Linked DNA regions of Arabidopsis thaliana. The protein of the gene in region 2 interacts with the protein of the main gene of each other region in a pairwise test. Each region holds a gene or a part of one and is shown on either strand. Other genes may lie near its edges.

Evidence for each region.
Region 1: the proteins of OBE1 (region 2) and AT3G07440 interact in a two-hybrid assay, tested with the Arabidopsis thaliana proteins (one large-scale study listed by BioGRID).
Region 3: the proteins of OBE1 (region 2) and AT3G05935 interact in a two-hybrid assay, tested with the Arabidopsis thaliana proteins (one large-scale study listed by BioGRID).
Region 4: the proteins of OBE1 (region 2) and SCAB1 interact in a two-hybrid assay, tested with the Arabidopsis thaliana proteins (one large-scale study listed by BioGRID).

The regions. Positions count from the first base shown.
Region 1 is NC_003074.8:2,379,564-2,384,124, reverse strand, and holds AT3G07440 (uncharacterized protein), read right to left. Parts: upstream 2,938-4,561; 5' UTR 2,715-2,937; coding exon 2,406-2,714; intron 2,302-2,405; coding exon 2,141-2,301; intron 2,056-2,140; coding exon 2,025-2,055; intron 1,876-2,024; coding exon 1,773-1,875; intron 1,327-1,772; coding exon 1,223-1,326; 3' UTR 1,204-1,222; exon of another isoform or gene 1,125-1,203; 3' UTR 756-1,124; downstream 1-755. Other genes in the region: AT3G07450 (Bifunctional inhibitor/lipid-transfer protein/seed storage 2S albumin superfamily protein), read left to right, coding at 195-515; YLMG1-1 (YGGT family protein), read right to left, coding at 4,176-4,561.
Region 2 is NC_003074.8:2,482,565-2,487,682, reverse strand, and holds OBE1 (potyvirus VPg interacting protein (DUF1423)), read right to left. Parts: upstream 3,230-5,118; 5' UTR 2,698-3,229; coding exon 2,675-2,697; intron 2,590-2,674; coding exon 1,490-2,589; intron 1,418-1,489; coding exon 807-1,417; 3' UTR 557-806; downstream 1-556. Other genes in the region: AT3G07790 (DGCR14-like protein), read right to left, coding at 1-192; Hsp89.1 (HEAT SHOCK PROTEIN 89.1), read right to left, coding at 3,713-3,889, 3,992-4,081, 4,179-4,284, 4,372-4,546, 4,637-4,739, 4,844-5,098. UniProt on the Arabidopsis thaliana protein: Probable transcription factor that acts together with OBE2 for the maintenance and/or establishment of both the shoot and root meristems, probably by controlling the expression of the meristem genes such as WUS, PLT1 and PLT2 and of genes required for auxin responses.
Region 3 is NC_003074.8:1,770,276-1,774,745, forward strand, and holds AT3G05935 (uncharacterized protein), read right to left. Parts: upstream 2,386-4,470; 5' UTR 2,237-2,385; coding exon 1,953-2,236; coding exon of another isoform or gene 1,949-1,952; exon of another isoform or gene 1,259-1,948; coding exon of another isoform or gene 1,135-1,258; exon of another isoform or gene 909-1,134; coding exon of another isoform or gene 856-908; coding exon 636-855; downstream 1-635. Other genes in the region: GLP8 (germin-like protein 8), read left to right, coding at 102-213, 361-908; AT3G05936 (uncharacterized protein), read right to left, coding at 3,787-4,128.
Region 4 is NC_003071.7:11,403,205-11,410,217, reverse strand, and holds SCAB1 (plectin-like protein), read left to right. Parts: upstream 1-1,796; 5' UTR 1,797-2,018; intron 2,019-2,333; exon of another isoform or gene 2,334-2,395; intron 2,396-2,469; 5' UTR 2,470-2,474; coding exon 2,475-2,756; intron 2,757-3,069; coding exon 3,070-3,198; intron 3,199-3,415; coding exon 3,416-3,508; intron 3,509-3,948; coding exon 3,949-4,089; intron 4,090-4,186; coding exon 4,187-4,255; intron 4,256-4,376; coding exon 4,377-4,460; intron 4,461-4,604; coding exon 4,605-4,785; intron 4,786-5,005; coding exon 5,006-5,122; intron 5,123-5,302; coding exon 5,303-5,361; intron 5,362-5,446; coding exon 5,447-5,581; intron 5,582-5,677; coding exon 5,678-5,827; intron 5,828-5,910; coding exon 5,911-5,961; 3' UTR 5,962-6,239; downstream 6,240-7,013. Other genes in the region: AT2G26780 (ARM repeat superfamily protein), read right to left, coding at 1-93; CYCB1;4 (Cyclin B1;4), read right to left, coding at 7,013-7,013. UniProt on the Arabidopsis thaliana protein: Plant-specific actin binding protein that bundles and stabilizes microfilaments (MFs). Has no nucleation or capping activity. Regulates MF reorganization during stomatal closure. The binding to F-actin is insensitive to Ca(2+) and pH.

The DNA.
Region 1 (4,561 bases), 100 kb from region 2:
CAATATGCATGTGAAAATCTAACTAATTGCGTAGAAAACGTGGGCCTAGAAACAATAAAACCCAAGTTTCATGATCCATCTAATCCAACTCCATTAGGTTCTTCATGCAATTATTCTCTTTTGCACTCTCAGTACAAGTTATATATGAGCTTTCGTCTTTTTTGTACAAGACATTGTCACAAAAAGAAAAAGGGATGATTGTAATGAAAAAGAGTCAGGTTTTTACAGTGATGTTACTTATGGTTATGGTCCAGTCAGGTCTGGTGAGAGAGACGCTGGGACACCCATGTGGTCGTACATTTTTGTCGGCTTTGATTCAGCTAGTGCCGTGTAGACCATCAGTGGCTCCGTTTAGCACATTGCCTCCGAACGGGCTATGTTGCGCTGCCATCAAGACACTTGGTCAACCTTGTTTATGCGTTCTTGCCAAGGGACCACCCATCGTTGGCGTTGACCGGACCCTCGCTCTCCATTTACCTGGAAAATGTTCTGCCAATTTTCTTCCATGTAATTAATTTCATGTCTCTTGTTATCAGTTATTTGGAATAATTTCTCTAGAAAATCACAAAATGACAAAGTTTCTTTAGGATCACTATATATAAGAGATACAGATAAAACCTAGAAGAATAATCCTAATGTAATCTACAAGAGATGGGTAATTTTCCCTTCAATAAAGGAAACGCTAAGTAAAATAAAACTAAAACCCGTTACTTGTCGAACACTCCCAATACGAGTGTTTGATAAAATCCCTAAAACTACTAAAGGTGCGCTGCATCAGCTTGTATCTTCATATGCAGCTAATATTTCACTTGACTTGTTGTTTCGCACTTACACATACAAAACATTCTCAGTTTCTATACGCATATGGTTCTGCAGCCTTTTCCTAGCATCTAGTTGCATCGGACTTTGTGGGTTAACCTCACATTTCGTTTATTTTGGTGTCGTTGGGTGGAGAGAGCAATACGGCGCCTCTCTATATAAACTAATACAGTAAAACTTGGAAAAATCTGCAGCACGCAATTTGCTTACATGAAAGTATATTCACTGCATAAAGTAAAAACTAAACACAAACTTATATTATTCTATTTCTTCAGAGCAGCCTGCTCATTCTTCGCCTGCTCTACCTGAAATCAGAGAAAAAACATTGGATATTTATATAGAGTACAAGTAACGTCAAGCTCCATTTCATCTACTTGCTCTCACCATGTGATGTTAAGGGTATTCAATCCCTTGCGAATCTATCAGGATCAAATGGCCGTCTTTGTGCATTCCAATTCAAGTCCCTAGATTCTTGAGATTCTGGTGCTGCATTCATTGGTGCAAAGGCTGCAACGACAGAGAGATTGTTCAAGACAGCTGAGAAACTACAGTAAAAGCAGAATACAGCACACACATATCACCCACCACATGACTCTAGCTAGATTCATGCAAGATGCTCGGCTCAATTAGCATGTCAAATATACACGGTCAAGATGGTAGACAATAAGCGACATTCATCTAAATTCATCCCTTGCGCTCTATCTTATCTATTTACCTCTCTTCAATTTGCAAACGACATGTTTTAAAGCATTTCCCCAATTTTCTGATATATTTCAGGTAATAATATGTTAAGAGTTCCTATTCAACAAAACAGAGCACATGATGATGATGCAACTTTAACTTTCCATTACACCAAATAATTTTCAAACTAATTCTGTTCATCAGTTCATGCAGTAAAATGCTGAAGAGTATATAAAAGTACCATTACACTTATGTTGGTGATGAAAACTCACCTTTATCTCTCATCCTCCTTTCTCTATCATACTCAAACTTATCCCTGATTTGACTGACTTTCTCCCAATTATCACCTTGTGTAGTTCTATTAAACCCTTGCTCCTGCTTTCATTTCCGATTCTCACAAAAATCAGACTCAAGTTTTACAGATAACACAAAACAAAATCAGGGAAAACAATGAAATTAGACAGAAGTGAACCACAACAAGATCTCAAATCTACTCACTACAAAAAACATAATAAAGTTGTTACCTTTGTTTGATCGCTGAAAGACCGCCTGTTCCTGCAATGATTAAGAAGATCAACCAATCACAAAACCACCCATCCACACCTAAATATCATTATAAGAATATAGTCAGGGATTAAACCTGTATGGATTAAAATCTTCATCGTCTTCTTCAGCGGATTCATAATTTGCATGATCACTTGCGAGTTTCTTTGAATACCCTTCATCCCAATAAAGCCTCTCCCAGTTTTCTCTAAGCTCGTTATATAGTTCCATATACTTTTTGCACCATGGCTCATGTTCCTATCATTGCAATGGTTTAACAGATTTTTTTCCAATTGAACTACAACACAGAACAATTAAACAGTGAAGATTGAAAAAACTTAAACTTTGTGAAAGGAACTGACCGATTCTTTAAGGACGAGGCGAGTGCGGCGCATGAACTGGTCACGGAGCTGCTTACGGCGTTTGTTCGGAATGTTGTCCCTGGGGATTGTGAAACGCTCACGAGGAGGGACGTGATCACCGATCTCGTGCATCTCTCCGTCTACTATCCACCACTCGGATTTCTCTTCCTTCTTCTTTAGCGGAAGAGAAGGCAACTTGTTTCGCCGTCTCGGCTGACCTGCCTCTGTTCTCGCGAGTCGAATCTGGGAAACGCCGCCGTGACGTATCGACGGCAAAATGGAGCCTACCCGTCTGACGACAAAGTTCATGGCGGTTTTCCGGCGGTTTGTAAAGAGCGTCGCAGAGTCTGAGATTAGAAGTGAAGTCGGGAAGCTAAAACGACCTATACCAGAGCTGCTTTCTAAACCAGTTATGAACCGAAATTGAACGTTACTCGGTTTTCCTAATTCTCTTGTGATTTCATGTCTGGTTACGATTTCTGGATTTGAGGTTGAGTTTAGTCATGATAGAGCCAGCCCCGGCCCAATAAATATAAAAGTATTAGGGAAAAAACTTGTGTTTTTTTGCTTTGGACTTTTCATTATGTTACAGTTTTAATTGTTTTGGGCTCTAGATTCATAATAAAAACAAAATTGGATCTTTACTGTATTTTTAAAAAATATTGGGTCTTATATGAATTGTTTTTAAAAAGGAAATGAGCCTTATACACTTGCACCTTGCCCTACCCAATTGGGCCGGGTCTGGTTAGAACTTAACGAACTTGTGTGATTTTGTAAGATTGTAGTTCAAAGATTAACTGCACTGTGATGAGACCATGTCCATTGTCCGATTACGGTTTCTAAACCGGTTATGAACCGAAATTGAATCTAACTCGGTTGTACTATTTTTTTCGCATTGTATGATGACCATGTCTGATTACGGTATTTGGATTTGGGGAGATTTTGGTCATGTTAGAGTTCAACGAGTTTGATTTTGTCAGATCGTACATAATTTTATAATTGAATTGGCAAATGGTGTGATCCAATTCAAACTTCTAGTTTCTTTCTTTCTTTCATTGACCTTTTATTGAAACTCCAAAGAGTCTGATTTCTTTCTTTCTTTCCTCGAGAAACAGTGTCATTGAAACCTTGAACTTAAGATTACTTATTCCCTTGGAGTTTCAATGAAACCTTGAACTTGCTTTTGCCTAAACAATAAGACTCTGAACTCTACTCAAAACTCTATACCAATTCTATCCACACTAAACATTTTATTAACCAACGAAGAAGAAGAAGTAACATTAAAGAACACCATGTTCTCGGCCTAGGACAAGGTGTTACACGCAAATACTGAACTTATCTCCAAACACCTCAAATCTCATGCCAGATTCACATACATGTCATCATCTGGATTAGATACAAATGATAAATTCTACTACATATTAAACTAGATATCGAAAATCTAAAAATAATGCAGATAACACAACATGCCTATTCTTCTACAATACTTAACTTTCTGGTTCTTAATCAATGTCAACAGTTGAGAGAACGCAGATAATCCATCAATAAACGGTAGTCTGAACATGTAATTAGGAGATAAACAACAACCCAAAATCTCATTATTCAGAATCAAAGTCAAAAAGAGAACAACAAAAACGATAAAGCTCACAACTCTCATCGAGCATCCAACACAGCATCAAATTCTGATTTTTCCCTAATCTTGGGAAACAAGTTGCAGAAATTTCCCAATTGAACGTTTCAACAAAACCATTAGCTCAAGTCTTCCAATTTCTACCCAGTGCTGCCATGAACAATCGATCCAAGTGTACCAAGAACCGCGAAAGCAAGCAATGGACTAACATCAAGCGTATCGAAGATAGGAGGAATGATGTTTCTGAAGAGATTCAAGTAAGGATCACAGAGATCTCTAATGGCAGACAAAGGCTGTCTTTCCCAAGGGATATTAGGGAACCAACTCAGCAAAACCCTAACCATCAATACCCCACTGTAAATGTCTAGCCACTTCTTTATCCCCACCGCAACAACCGTCAGCGGCGTGTTCAAGTATCCCGGAGGACGATCCCGGAGAGACGCGAAGAAGACAGGTCCGGCGGTACTGAGAGAGAATCGTAACCCGTCGGCGATTACGGGACTTGAAGTCTGGATTGCGAGAGAGA
Region 2 (5,118 bases):
ATCACGCTCGATGATCTTCTCGATTGCTTCAACATAAGCGTCCTCATCGAGAACTCTCATCCGTTTTCTAGGGTTTCGAGGAATGATCTCCGAGGAAGAACTGCGAGGCGTTGATCGGAGGGTATCATCGGAATAAGAAGACGGCGATGGAGAAGAAATCTGACGAGGAGAATGACCAGGTGAAAGAAACATCTTGAATCAGAAGAACGCGAATTCAAAAAGCACGAATGGAATTTGGAGCCGATGAATTTTGTCGAGAATTCGGACACTAGGGTTTGTTTTTGGGTAGACAGGAAAACAAAACGATGGTCGATGATTGCATCGGCGATGATATAATATTCCTTATCAATCCGATTATACGCGTTTTGTTTCCAGAATATTACATTATTTCCCCAAACGTTTTGATTCCTTTTGCTTTATACCCCGTAAGAAATCAAATCGTTATTATAACCCAAACATGAGGACGTTATTGCAAATAACTACTCTGTAATATCCATTTGGGCAAAATATTTTCTTTTTAAAGTCGGTGGCGATGTTCTTTGGCTCTCATGTTGGCTCAAATATAAACTATTTAAGGTAACATGGATCTCCCTCCATTAGCGAAATCCACAATTCTCTAAATCCGAGTGAATAAGTATCGAGATTTTGGCAACACTCTGTGTCAAAGCTTGCATAACATTATGGCCCAACATAGACGATCATGTGCAAAATTTGAATACAAAGACCACAATACTTCACACACAAATCCAACCTTAATTGATTCGGATTTTTTTTTTAATACAAACAAAGAGAGACAATACAAACATCTAAGGATTGGATCTGAAAGGATTTCGCTGGTTTGATCTTGGATCTACCCTTGGCGACGATGCATTGTATCCATGCAGCATTTCTCTGATCTTTGAGTACATCACTGCTTGTGACGCTTCACCACCATTCCCACCACTTTCCTGCTCTTTTATCTTTTCAAACAGATACTCTTTCTCTGCCTCCGCCTCGCTCAGCCTCAGTTTCAAATAGTTACTTGCGTATTCCTCTTCTGTTTTCTCCTTTTTCGCTTTCACAATCCTTTCCAATCTCTCTGCTTCCACTTTTGCCTCGTTTGCTTTTAACTGAAACATCTCTGCCTCTGCTTGCTTCAGCCTCACTATCCTCTCCACCTCTTCTATCTGTTGTTTCTTCTTCTGCCTCTCCATCTGCAGTTCCGCCACTTGCTTTGCTTTCTCTTCTACCTCTCTCTCGCATTCCTCAAGCCCCATTCGCGCTTTCTTGTACATCCTCGTCTTTTCCTCACCCACTATCTCCATTTTCCTCAGTGTTTCCTTTACAACTTCAGCAATTCGGTTGCATGCATCTTGAGGTGCTATCGTACCCCCACCTTCTCCGCTTTCAAGGCTCTTTGGAGAGTCCAATTCAATTTCTTCATACACAAAACATGGTTAGGTCTATAAAGAGTAAACCCTTATCATATAACAATAGCGAGTGGGCTTACCTTGGAAAAACATGAGTATCAACTTGGCCGCTGTTGCTTCAGCCAGTCCACCTTTAATCTTCTCCATAAGCTCCTCACACTTCCAGAAGAGTTTCCGGCCTCTTGTATCTTCGCTTCCACGGAAAATCCTACTAACGAAGTCAAGTTCCTTCATTAAAGATTCCCTATCCCAGTTTGGTGCACAGTGCTGAAACACATCTTTCACCCACCCCAGCAATTCAGAAGTATGGTTGCACGCTCGACACTTGAACAGCATTTCTCCCATCCCAGATACGCTCTTGGGAGAAACTCCCATCGAAATCTCCCCATCCCTAATAGCACAATCCGTATGAGTCCAATGAGAACACACGTCGCAGCCAATCCAGCGGCATGTGTTGACTGCAAAGTCAAACTTGTTACATATCACACACATGCACAGGTTGCAGAAGCCTTTCCTATTAGCGCATATCTCACAGGGACAACCATCAGCCGGGAGTTCGTTTTGGCAAGCTATGTTTCTGCATCTCTTGTACACAAAGATCTCGATGAGTGATGACTGAGAGAGATTGATGTTTGGGTGCAAGAATGCTTGGATACCAGTGTTTATAACCACAAGAACTTCAAGCTGCACTCGGTGAGCCCTGACAAGTGTCTTTGAAGTTAAATCAGATCTCGTCTGGACAAACTTCTGCAGAAACATAAACTCATCTATAGGCTGCGCACCATTTCCTTCAAGGATAGCCTTAAGACCATTCTTTAACTCCTCGAGATATTCTTCTGGTAATCGATGCATTCTCTCAGCGACTATGTCAAGTCTCTCTCTAGCTATGTCCCGTAGCGATACCTTATCAGCAATGGAAACATGGCGGATCACATGTTGATCATGAGAGTCAGGCCCTGTCTTTCCGCTATCTGTCTTCCTTCCCATAATAGATTTTGAGGTTGGCCAAGTTTCTTGAGAGCTAGCACTTTCAGCTGGTGATTCACGCACAATGCCAGAATTAGACCGTGACAAGTGGGGATCTGAAGATACAAGCGAAAGAGATGTTTGTAGTTGCTGACGTGGAGGTAGCATCTGGTGAGGAAGATTGGACCCAGATGATGTGCCCATCAATTTAGTGCTGCAGACACCAAGATAATGTCAATGTCAGATTCACCCCAAGGAACACATAAATCCCTAAAATACTTTACGACCAAATCACATACTAATTCAGGAAAGCCCAAAACATTTTGCAAAATCCCTAGAAATCCACCGACAGATAAAAACTACATCTCCTATGTTCAAATTGAGCTGAGATGATTAATCACTAGTGGAAGCTCAAAAAATACAAACACATGACAGAGTAAACACAAAACAAGCGCTAGAAAAAAACAAGTTGCTCGAATCTGTTTGCCCCGTAGATTATACGCTATAAAAGTCAAACACGAATCTTCATAAAATCAGAAAATCTTGCAAGTACCAAAATACATAGTCATAAACTGAATCAACCCTCAAAACAACGCATCCAACTCGATCACGAGAGTTATTGACTCTTTTTGTCACCGAATTTTCAGGACCAGCCTCGAACTCAACAACCAAAACAGATACGTTTTGCTGTATTCGCCTCAGACATAAAGAAAGCACCAAACAGACGAGAAAGGGAAAAAGACCGCCGGAAAATTAAGGACTCACCGGAGAGACGACGGGAGAGGACGAACGAGGAACCGTGACTCCGTGAGAAACCCAAAGGAAAGATAAATTAAACACTTTTTTGCCTGTTAAGACAGAACTATAAAAAAGACATACAGCTGCCAGTTCATTAATCTCTAACGGTTAACCTGACCAGCCGGTAACCTTCGACTTTTGTTGACTTTTTTAAACGCGTTCAACGTTTGAGTCGAATCTGTCCAAACAAAGTTTTAAACCAACCCAATTCGTACGATAACAACATCCCTCTATTTAATTAAAAATTACCATATGTCCCAAAATTTTAGTTTTGTTAGATAAAACTCGAAAAATCTTTCCAAAAACACCCCAACTGAATTTTTCTTAACGGTTATTAAAATTATACCGAGGAGGATCAACACAAACTGGAACAAAAACAAGCTCAATCAATTATTAATCTCTCCAACATAAATAGAGATTATCATTCGCTCATTGCCTATTGTTCTGAGTTTTGGGGTTCTACTTTTACTGCTACTACTAATAAAAGAAGAAGAATATGATGAGAATCGTAGCAGGGACATAAAACATTAGGCTTGTGTTCATTTCTTCCCATCCACTTCGACTGGTTCAACCACTTCAGCTTCAAACGTCTCTGCATCGTGAGAATGTGCCATCTGCTGTTGCTGCGGCTGCACCTCAGGGCTTGACCATTTCCCGGAAAGAGCTACATCCATCATCTCATATATCTTCCCACCCAGCTCTGCTGGATTATCGGGCTGTAGTTTTGAGAAACAACAATTAAGTTTTACCAGTATTTACTTTATTTCAATTCTAGAGACAACAAAAAGTTAAGAATGTTAATGTAGAATAGGACTCACCGTGAACCCACTAGAAACTAGTGCTGCGTCATACATAAGATCTATGGCTCTCATTGCATCTTCGTCATTTGGGTTACTATTGTAAGCAGCCTGCAGGGTGCAAGAAAAAAACAAGCCAAGCTCAAAAAGCGGCTCCTAGATTTAATTATAATAGCCAGGTACAAGTTATGATGAATGGTGACTTCACATTTATGTTCTTGATAATTGAGTGGTCGGGATTGATCTCAAACACTCTTCTCCCTTTCATGTAGTCGAGGCTTATTGTGTCACCAGTTGATTGTGCCTTCATTAGCCTGTCCAGATAACATATTCTGTGTTAGTTCACCAGGGGCAAAAAAGGAGAACGGAAATCCTTGCTTAAGAAAAAGGTCAGATCTTACCTCTCCATATTGGCTGACCAACCAAATTTACCAGATACAAGAACACAGGGGGAAGAACTAAGACGGTTGGAAATTTGAACACTGGCAACCTTGTCACCCAATCGTTTCTTTATCCAGTCACAAGTCTGTCCAAACTCTTTTTTCACTGCTGCCTCTTTCTCCTCGTTCTTGTCTCCTGTCAATACAAAGATCAAAGCCAGAATTTGTTATTATACATAAGTGATTACCTGACATGCTAAATCAAGGAATTACATCAGGCACTTGCCTAGATCCAAGTCTTCCTTGCTGATATCTACAAAATCCTTCTCCTTATAAGCTTTTAAACTCTGTACGGCAACTTCATCAATAGGCTCTACCAAATATAGTACCTACGTTCACAATACAAAGAAATACATGTCAATCACCTCTGAGTTAATAGGAATATTTGCAAGGAAGAACAAAACGAGGCCCCATTCAGAAGAACAACACATACTTCAAGTCCTTTCTCCAGCATCTTTTCGAGGAAAGGTGCATTCTTAGCACTTGTAATGCTGTCAGAAGCAATGAAGTATATGGCTTTCTGTTCAGGTTTCATGTTCTCAACATACTCATCCAAGCTGATCATGTCATTCTCACTCTGGGAGGAGAAAAATCGAAGCAGTGGAGCTATACGCTTGTGGTTTTCACGGTCTTCGATGCACCCTAATTTCAAGTGTTTGCCAAAATTATCCCAAAACTTCTCATAGTCCTGTATAGGTTAACAATGCC
Region 3 (4,470 bases), 710 kb from region 2:
ATTGGTTAAATCTTCTTTACGTAGATATATAAATTGAGAAACAATGTTAAAGTATTTTCTCAAACTCATCAATAACATCTTACAAACAACAACAATCAACAATGGCAACTTCCATGATCCCTATATTCGTCACCTTCATGCTCGTGGCCGCCCACATGGCCCTCGCCGATACAAATATGCTTCAAGACTTTTGTGTTGCTGATCTCTCCAACGGTATCACATCTCTCTCTATACCATTTATGTTCTGCTTGCATTTACATTTACCAGATATAGTTAACTGCAAACGCAGCTTTGGTGTTTTGAAACAACCAAGACCAATTCCAATATTTTGTTGTTGACTTTTTATCATGTTCTGATTAGGTTTGAAAGTCAACGGATACCCTTGCAAAGACCCAGCAAAAGTAACACCAGAAGACTTCTACTTCATAGGCTTAGCCACTGCTGCAGCCACAGCCAACTCTTCAATGGGCTCAGCTGTTACAGGAGCCAACGTTGAGAAAGTGCCTGGCCTCAACACTCTGGGAGTCTCCATCTCTCGGATCGACTACGCACCTGGCGGACTTAACCCACCACATCTTCACCCAAGAGCCTCTGAAGCCATCTTCGTCCTTGAAGGCCGTCTCTTCGTCGGTTTCTTAACCACTACCGGGAAACTCATCTCCAAACACGTCAACAAAGGAGACGTTTTCGTTTTCCCCAAAGCTCTCCTCCATTTCCAGCAGAACCCTAACAAAGCTCCTGCTTCCGTCCTCGCTGCTTTCGATAGCCAGCTTCCCGGGACTCAAGTTGTTGGACCATCTCTGTTTGGTTCTAACCCACCGATTCCTGATGACCTGCTTGCCAAGGCGTTCGGGGCTGCAGCACCAGAGATTCAGAAGATTAAGGGAAAATTCCCACCAAAGAAATAAATAAGTTTCAGACCAGAGCACTAATCTAATAATGATATACAATGATGAACATAAAAATGTAAACTTCTAAGCAAAAGCTTGTAACTTTTTTTCATTCTTTTCTTTATTATTGTAGATACTCTTTTGACTATATTTGGCCCATTGATTACGATGAGACCAGTTTTCACATGTTTAAGAGTCTATATATATATATATCTTTGAACAATCGACAGTTCTTGAAACATACCATACTGCAAGAATATTAAGGTCCTCTTTAGTGCTTTCAATCCAGTAGATTTAATGGCTGAACTTTCAGCTGAGTTTAGAGGGAAATCGTGTCTCAAAAAAGGACACAGAGGCATGCTACAACTCTGAAACATCAACCATTAACTATCCAAGCTCCTTCTTCATAATCACTTAGAATCAGATTCAATAAACAAACGATGATTGGAGATAACCATTTGCATAATCAAGACTTAGTAAGCATAACTAGCACAAGGGTTCCGCGGCTTCATAGAGATGATTAAATCCATATAGCAATTTCAAAACCACAACTACATCAGTGTCTCAGTAAAATTCAACTATTCATAAAACCATTGAAAATGGTTACCCTAGATGTGTCAAAGGTAAACAACACTTGCCAAAATAAACTTGGGCTTTACTAGTAGAGATATTCAACACATGGAAACAGATATCAGACATTAGCAATTAATATTCGTTGAGTGTGATACTCTGAGATTCAAACTTGGGCTCAAATTTCTGATCTTACAAACTAGTTTGGATATTATGGACAAAGAGTGACATTGTCAGAGACATATAGAAACTATCATACGGAACTATGAAGAGAGACAAGAAAGACCCACAGATATTAATGATGAGCATAAGAGGCAGATATACAAGATTCATTAACAATAATCACTCTGTTCTGCAAAAATCTTTGGTAACATTGATGAACACACTTTTGATATTGATGAAGTTTAAAAGAAGATCTATACAGATATTGGTGGTATACTAAATGAAAACTACACTATATATATATATATATATATATATATCTGAACTTACAAACAGAGATGTGGATTAGAATCCTTGGAGAAGAAATCATTGGTCTGTAGCAGAACCCTAAGCTTAAAGTTGTCATCTTCAGGGTCAGGTTCAATTCCACAAAAGCAGACTCTTTTCCAAAACCCAGAAGAAGGAGACGTATTCGGCGATAAGGGTCTCCTTCTGAACTTAGACACGATTCGTTTCTTTGCTTTCGAGACGGAGTAAATCAACAATGGAGATTCCTTTTTCTTCTTCTTGTTGTTGATGTTATCAGGATCTCTCTCGTTCTGTTCATTGTTCATCCACCGAAACCAGAATCAGTTGGCCAAAATTCGGATAGAAAATTGGACGATCTATCAGAGACGAAGCCAGGTCTGGTTTCTTCTTCCTACTTGCTACGGTCTCCTTCACGCTTTTTGTTTCCAGGCCTCGCTGGCTCTTTCTCACTCTCAAAAAATCGCAATCGAGTTTTCGTGTTAAATAAATTATTAATTAGTTTTACTAATAATGAAATAGAAAAATAATTTAATTCGGCAAACCAAATTTTCAATTTTATTGCTGTTTTGGTCCTCCGGTTTGCAAATGTTTTTCCTTTCTTCCGTATTATTTTTTTCGCGATCAACCTATAACATTTAGCATGTAAACATGTTTATTTTCTAAATGCATAAAATATCAAACTATTGTGGAAAAAAAACTAAATATATATATCAAAATATGTTTGACGGTTTTATTACGCAAATATTTTATATACTCCAGAGAAAATTTTAAAAATGTTGTTTTTGTTTCACGCTTCAACGTGTAAATTGGCGTTTAAATCAAATAAAAATGTTTTGAATTGCGTTTAAACTTAAGCAAAAAGGAGAAAAAGAGTATTAGTGACGAAGAACATTAATGTAAAATCAAATTTAGCTCTAAGCCGATTAAGAGACAACATATAAAAAATTTCCCACTATTGACCTTTAGCTTTTACAATGGCATTCCCTACATTTATTTGCCTTCATCATAGCGTAGTGACGTAGCATTTGCCAAAATTCTAAGACTTCTGTTCTCCTTTAGTATCTCTTTCAGCTCCAAGTCTTTCCTTAACTCACATTCTATCAAATCATAAACCTAGAGAACACTATTGATAAATGAAAACATTAATTCTCTCTACCTATGTTATTGAAATATATAGTACTTATCAGTTGAAAGCACATGATCCAATATATCATGTTGTCGTAGCATAAATACCTCACGATCTTGGTGCAAGTTTCTCCAGCTCTTTTGCCATTTCACATCTTTCCTAATTTGTACCAATCTCCTTATACTCTGTATCTTTTCTCCCTTTTCACAATATTTGCATAAATGGGTTTTCATAAATGAGGAGGAGTTGAAGCGCCGAAGTTTTGCTTGCTTTATGTACCACAAAGTTAGTTCCTTTATAACATGGGTGCAACAAAAGAAGTTAGTTGGATTTTTTTGTACTGACATGCTTCTAGTGTTTCTTTAAACCCTTTCTTTATTATCTGACCAAGTCTTATCTTTACTTTATGCATAAGAAAAAAATGTGATTGTCACAAATCATCACATACTGTATTGTTAAGTTGGAATCTTCTGTAAAGTTCATGTGTCCTTTATGACTGCAAATCTTCTTCCTAAAAGAAAAAAACAACTTTACTTGTATTTGACCAATAGTGATAAGGATTCTAATAGAATCACTCTACAACTTGCTATGAATTATGGAAGAGAAAAAAACAATCTTGAACTCTGTTCATATAATCCTCCAAAAATCGTAATTTAGAAGAACATGGAAGTGGGTTTACATTTCTATGTTTCATTGTTTTTTGAGTAATGAGAATCAGATATCTTCTCACTAACGGAATCCACCTCTTGAATTCAGCAAACCAGGGAAACCCCAATGAGAAGAGAAAACAAGATTAGGATATAAACCTTCTTTGTTCATCTGATTTGTGATGCGCATATAAATGTTAAAGATCCTTCTTGGCAAAGCTAGTGCCTTAAGAACCAGCTTCCTTGATCGATTTACTCTGAACCCTTTTGCTCGAGTCTCGTTCTTCTTCCCCAAGTTCTGTCTTTTGGTCGGCGACCTCGTTGTTCTTTCTGGTGGTGGTGTTGTCAATCTCTCGCCATGATCAGTTAGCTTCTTGTACCGATAAGATTGTCTCCACCGGTACTTGCCTACAATCTGCAACATCTCTGTTTCTTATAAAGTTGTGTGTATGTTGTTGTTTTAGGACAATACAGAGTCACTGTCTAATGAAGGATAAGAACGAAACAAAGAGATATGAAACTAGGAAAACAGTAACAAAACAGGAATATAAAAAGGAAATGTTTTTGCTTAAAAAGATAAGGAGAAGAATTATGTGATGATAATGATTGTGAGGGAAGTGGCTTAAAGGCATGTGTTTATAAAGAGACAGAGAGAGTAAGAAAGATTCTTAAAGCACATGATTTTATTCTTTATTTTCCATTTAAAACCCAAAAAAATATCCAAAATCTGTTAAAATGGGCAGCTCTTGTTAAACCACATAAGCAG
Region 4 (7,013 bases), on a different chromosome or scaffold from region 2:
AAGAGCGAGTCTCGTCAGCATCCGATCGAGCATTTCCTCCAACTCAGCGTCCGATTTGGAAATTAACGAAGACGAAGATGAAGAACCTTCCATAGCTAATCTCAGAAATTTGTTGAGTTGCAGAGATTTATCAGTGCTTCTTTGCTTCTTCTTTGGTTCTTCTCTTCTTATGCTTTTCCTTAGTCTCTCCCGTCTTGGCGGACAAGAGAACTATGGCTGGTCTAAACGACGTCGTGTTGTATCCCATTAGGCATATTGGGCCTCTAATCCACAGCCCATCCTAGCCCGCATTTGCCATTTTTCTCACAAGTCCTTTGGTTTTTTAGGCAACTTCTTGTTTTCAGCAATTTTATTGTTTGGCCGTGTTTGTCAGAGAAAATAACCCACCACTTGTGTGAGTTGAATGTCTCAAACAGACTAGTAGACTTCAATGATATTTATGGCAATGATTGAGTGGTATGGCCGAGAAACTAACAGGTATCATGCTGATGGGTTTGATAACCAACCAATTGAAATCCACTTTCACTCCTCTATTCAGGTTTGAGGCAATATCTTCATTGATTAAATCACAACCATTCCAGATTAAGCTTATATGTGGTAAGGTAACAATTTATTAAAAAAATTGTTCTTCTTCATGAGGACAGAGCCCGTAAAAGAGTTAGATAAGGTGGCTAACAACAATATACCAAAGGACTTTGTATATATGCAAGACTTTGTATAGGGCAAAAATATGCAAGATTTTGTTAACATGAAAGGTTTTTAGAGGTGATGCAAGATTTTGACATTTTTTGTTTGTACTATTTTTGTTGGATGATCCTATCTTTTTTTTTTTAATTTATCAAAAAGAAAAGCCTAATTTAGGATATTGTATGATTTAATTAAAATAGTTGTGGCTTTACTCGTGATTGGTGATCTTGTGATTGGTGGGTTTTGAGAAGTTTTGCCTCGCTTCTTGTCCTTCTTTTACAATTTTGTCGTAATCTGATTGTTTTTTGAAGGATTCTATCTAGACGTTAAGTGACGAATTGGTGGTCATCGTCGTATCTGGAATGGTGTTTGTGTTTCTTTTAGTGGTCTTGCATGTCGGGTTATGATATCCTTGGTTCTCGAGAGATTGGCTCTCAACGTGATAGGAGGTGGTAAATGTTATTTTGGATTTGATCAATCGTACTTGCAGGTGTGTTAAAAGAAGTGGAGTTTCTGCTTTGTTGGATCTCTTATTTTTTTAAGATTTTGTCTTGTTAATATGGATCTTAGTTTGTACTATCGTCCTTTTTCGAGATTGGTTTGATATTTTCTGCATTATAATTTGAGTTTACTTCATCTTCTTTATTTAGGATCTAGATTCCGAAGAATTCTCTTTTTCCGCCAGCTTATGTTTTTTTGGGAACTTATAGTTTATCCGCCAATTTACGTTTTTTTTGTTTGGGCATTATATTTTACGTCTTTCACAACAAGATTCTATAATTTCTTTATGACAAAAAAAAAAATAAAAAGTAAAAAAAAATAAATCCCCATGACCAAAAAAAGTTTTGGCTTTACCAAATTTGTGTAAGAAAGGTCTAAGTTTCACACCAAACCACTCTTATTAGTGTCATCATTTTGATTACTTTCCCTTTTAAAAAACAATTAAAAAGAATATCGTGGCAGTTAAACACGAAACAGAACCCGTGACCGCTCTGTGATTTTTAAGTTTCAGACAACAACAGTCCGACAGCGACACACATCAACCGGAGTTGAAAATTATGCAACAATTTATTACCTAAACCAGAAAAACTTTTAAACAAAACTAAATTAAAAAAAAAAGAAAAAAAGAAAAAAGACAGTGTTTCCACCAAAGCCACAATTTTTTCACGGTCTTTGCTTTTTAGTAAAGCTAATGCTTACGACTCTCTCAAACTTCACTTTTTGCCTTCTCCTCAGACCAAATCTTCTTCTTCTTCCTTCTCTGTTCTCGACGACCTTCTCAAATTCGATCTCAACTCAAAACATTTGTCTGATCCATTAATCGGATTCAGGTGAGAAGTGTTTAGCTTTGTTCTCTTGAAAATCTCCGACGTTGTTCGTGATTATTGCAGTATTTTGTGTTCTGATTTTCGATTTCAAGTTCTTAAAATTTGACTTTCAATTTCTATCTTCTTTGAAATTTGTTACTAAATTGGTATATGGGTAGTTGTTGTTAGCTCTTTTGTTTGGTAATCTAGGGTTTTGACATCCATCAATTCTTTATCTCTGTAGCTATAAAATGTTTTTAAATGTGTGTTGAATCCATTGTTATTTCCAACATTGGCGTAGGTACTGAAAAAAACAATGTTTTGTTTTTGTTGTTTTAGATTTTTGTGAAGATTCAACAACAGATCTGTGAGTCCATTGGAGTATATTACTATTCATAGTGGTTAGACATCTACTAGCATTTTCTGTCTTTTATTTTGTTTTTGTCTAAGCATTTTTGGTTTTGTTTATAAACAGATACAATGACAAGGGTTACACGCGATTTTCGGGATTCATTACAGAGAGATGGTGTTCCTGCAGTATCAGCAGATGTGAAATTTGCTTCAAGTAGATTTCCTAATTATAGAATTGGAGCTAATGATCAAATATTTGATGTTAAAGACGATCCTAAAGTGATGTCCATGAAAGAGGTTGTTGCGCGTGAGACAGCGCAGCTTATGGACCAGCAGAAACGTTTGTCTGTTCGTGACCTCGCTCATAAATTTGAGAAGGGTTTGGCTGCAGCTGCTAAGCTATCTGAGGAGGTCTGATATTATTCTCTTTTTGTTGAGGTCTTATAGATGAAATGTGTCTCTTGTATTGTTACTATCTTTGGTTACTATGTAATGAGTTGATTTGCACATTTATGTTAGTTTTTGTGTTGATTGAGTCTACTAAATAGGATTTAATAAGAGGGATTTTAATTCGGTGATAACCTTACTTTTTGTTAGCAAAGAATTTTTTGTTGTTATAAATACAGAAATAGGGGATCAAGAAGGCTAATCTAGGTTGCTAAAGTGAAAATATGATATGATTGAAAAAAAAATTTAAGGCTAATTTGGTTGGGAACGAATGCAGGCAAAACTCAAAGAAGCAACTTCGTTGGAGAAACATGTTCTTTTAAAGAAACTTCGAGATGCATTGGAGTCTCTAAGAGGACGTGTGGCAGGTAGAAACAAGGATGATGTAGAGGAAGCCATTGCCATGGTTAGTCTTTTACTCTTTTATAGTCTTTTAGTCATCATATTTAGCTCCGTTCCTTTACATGGTGATATATATCGCCTCTAGCCTTTTCTACAAACCGAAATGTGTTTTTTTCCATTTTCAGTTCTGCGTTCTTAAATTGTCTCACAATCCCCATTACCAACATTTTTCCCTTCCACCTCTATATCTTAAGTATGTTTGGAATTTTGAATTCTGCTAGGTTGAAGCTCTAGCTGTTCAGTTGACTCAGCGAGAAGGAGAGCTATTCATAGAAAAAGCGGAAGTGAAAAAGCTAGCGTCTTTTTTAAAGCAGGTAAAGTGTGCCTTTGAGACAGTGACAATATTTTCTTTTCTCGTGTCACTTGAGGTGAATAGTTAGGAGACGTCTATGTCATTTCACTTGAAACAACCAAGTCCTCTAAAATAGCAAATACGTTTTCGTCCACGGCTTAATACCATGCAGTTTTTGTTAGTCCTTGAGCTAACCAGATGATTAAGAGAGAGTCTGTCCTTTTTGTTTTCATTTGAGTAGTTTATATTCTATTACTTTTGACAAAGAACTATGATGTAGTTTCTTTACAGACATAATCTTTCACTTACTATTCTTGATTCTTTTTCTTATCTTGCTTGGGACATTTGTATTAGTCTTCTGTTGTCGGTTGTAAATTAGTGGTTACTAGATGGGCTAGCTTGAAAAAGATGCAGATGTGTTCTAATAATCTTGCTGATTAGTGGGTATGATTTTTTAACTAGGCCTCAGAGGATGCTAAGAAACTTGTCGACGAGGAAAGAGCGTTTGCACGTGCTGAGATTGAAAGTGCAAGAGCAGCTGTACAAAGAGTTGAAGAAGCCCTGCGAGAACATGAACAGATGTCTCGTGCCTCTGGGAAACAAGTATTTTAGTGATGGCTTCTATCATAATCTTGTAAATGTCCTATGCTTATAACATTGATTCGTGTTAACAGAGTATTGTTATAATTTATCGTATCAGGACATGGAAGATCTAATGAAGGAAGTTCAAGAAGCTAGGCGGATTAAAATGCTGCATCAACCAAGCAGGGTAGGTAGATGAAAGATGGTTTATCTCTTGGGTTTAAATGGCTTTATCTGTCTGTCTAAGTCGATGCTTCTTTAGTATCTTATGTTGTTTTTAAAAAGTCAAATCATGTGTATTGTTTTAGGTAATGGATATGGAATATGAGCTTCGAGCACTAAGAAATCAGCTTGCAGAGAAATCAAAACATTTTCTTCAACTACAAAAGAAGGTTAGTTGGATCCATATTCCATACACATATATATTCTATTTAGTGCATTCCAGGTCCTTTTGATGTCTTAACTTCCACATTTGTGACTGTATGCGGTTGACAAATAGTGGATTCTGATACTATATACATTTTTCTATGATTCAGCTCGCAATGTGCAGAAAGAGCGAGGAAAATATATCCCTTGTATATGAAATAGATGGCACTGAAGCTCTAGGATCTTGTTTGCGAGTTAGACCTTGCTCCAATGATGCACCTGATCTTTCCAAGTGTACGATACAATGGTACCGTTCATCTTCAGATGGCTCCAAGAAGGAGCTTATATCAGGTCCACTCACCTTTCTCATTGTTTTCTTTCTCTTATTATATTTGAGTTTTAAAATGTTCTGTTCTGTGAGCTAGTCGATTACAAATCAGATTGTTTCTTCTAACTAATGATTTTGGAATTGTGAACAATATATTTCCAAAGGCTGGTGTAAATAGGGCAAAATCAAGTTTAACATTGTTCCCATTGAGGAAAATGTTTCCTAACTATGTTCCTATCTCAGGTGCCACAAAATCAGTTTACGCTCCCGAGCCTTTTGACGTTGGACGAGTCTTGCATGCAGATATCATCTACGATGGCCATTCGCTTTCGTTATCCACAGTGGGAAAGATTGATCCAGGTTCATTGTTATGTTATTTACTGTAAAAGGTTATTGTTTATGTCAACATGATCAAATGGTTTGTGTAGGTTCTGTCACTTAGTAGATATTACTTAACTTTGACAAATCAACAAACACGGTCCTGATTTTCGTCATTACTAGATGATTTATCAAACATAACAAAGTCTTGATTTGGTGCAGCTGCTGGATTGGGTAGCTATGTCGAGGCATTAGTACGGAAACACGATGTTGATTTCAATGTAAGGTTTCTCTAACACTCGGAATTAGTATTTATATATTTGGTGCTTGTATGTATATTATATTTCCCCTTATTGTAATTTACAGGTAGTTGTGACCCAAATGAGTGGGGAAGACCATACATCAGAATCTATCCACTTGTTTCATGTTGGTAAAATGAGGATAAAACTTTGCAAGGGAAAGACAGTGATTGCAAAAGAGTACTACTCTAGTGCAATGCAGGTAAGGATACTACTTTACCCCGAGAAAATTGTCATATTTTTAGTGTTACACGGTGAGATCTATAATATCATAATCTTTGATGATCATATTGAGTAGCTATGTGGAGTGAGAGGAGGTGGAAATGCTGCAGCTCAGGCATTGTATTGGCAGGCGAAGAAAGGAGTGTCATTTGTGATAGCTTTTGAGTCTGAGAGAGAAAGAAACGCTGCGATCATGCTTGCACGAAGATTTGCTTGTGATTGTAATGTAAGTATAACTAAGATGGAGTTAGAAACTTTGGTTTTTGTAGAGAGAGGTGTTGATGTAAGTATGAAACTGATGTGTTGCAGGTGACACTTGCTGGTCCAGAAGACAGAACAGAGACGGGTCAAAGCCCTTGAAGAACGGCTCTTACCTAAGTTGTGATTTTTAGTATCCGTAAGAGCTTATTTGTTTTGTAGTTTATATAGGTTTTAGGCATTTGTTTGAATTGTACTTGTATTGTGTGTAAAAATATCGAGCAGTGAAGTAAGAGGTGATGGTGAATCTATATGTAACGGGTGGCTTGTGTTTATTCATTTGTTTTGATCTTACTTGCCCTTGAGGTAATATAACGGATTGCTTGTTTTGGACTGGATCCCAAAGCATACAATATATTGCAAGTGAATCACAGCCAAAATCCTGCAACAAACCCGAAAATCCATGATCGTCGATCATTCTCACTAACCGATCTCACAGAGATTCCAATGTTAAAACCAAACAACAACAAAAAGATAGAACAAAAGAGAGAGATCATCACAACTACATGATCAACAACTAAAGTAGACTAGGGTTTTGTTCCTTCATGCACAAGAAACAGTTAAGTTGTCATGCGAAGGAAGAAGAGCAAACCACATTGGTCCACCGTCCACCTCATCACTCTTCCTTCTGCGAATCCAGCTGCCCTTAGATGCATATCAAATTTAACATGTGACAAAGTCACAAAGTTTTGATATAGTGGAACTACACAAAAGTAGTGTTATCGCAATTGTCTCATCAACAAAGCCAACACTAACCCTCAAAATCAAAAAGCTCGATTTAGAGGTTTGAAACGCAGTTTCGAAGGAAGAGAGGAAAAAAACGGGAATGAATATATATCCAAGTGATTTATGGTTTTTAGATTCGTCAATAAACGAATTTATGTCTTTAGATTAGTAACCAAAGATTTCATTTTAACTAGAAGATATCTGTGACAAAAAGAGTTAAAAATTCCAAAACGTAATTTGAGGAATCCAAGGAAACTGAAGATAAATGAAACCACACTTAAAAACTTGTTCATGGTTAACATCATTATCTTTGACGGGATCATACAGAGGATCAATGTAAAAACCAAAAAAAGAAAAAAGAAAGAAAGAACACAAAGAGATCATGACAGCTACATGATCAACAAAAGCAGACTAGGGTTTTGTTTCTT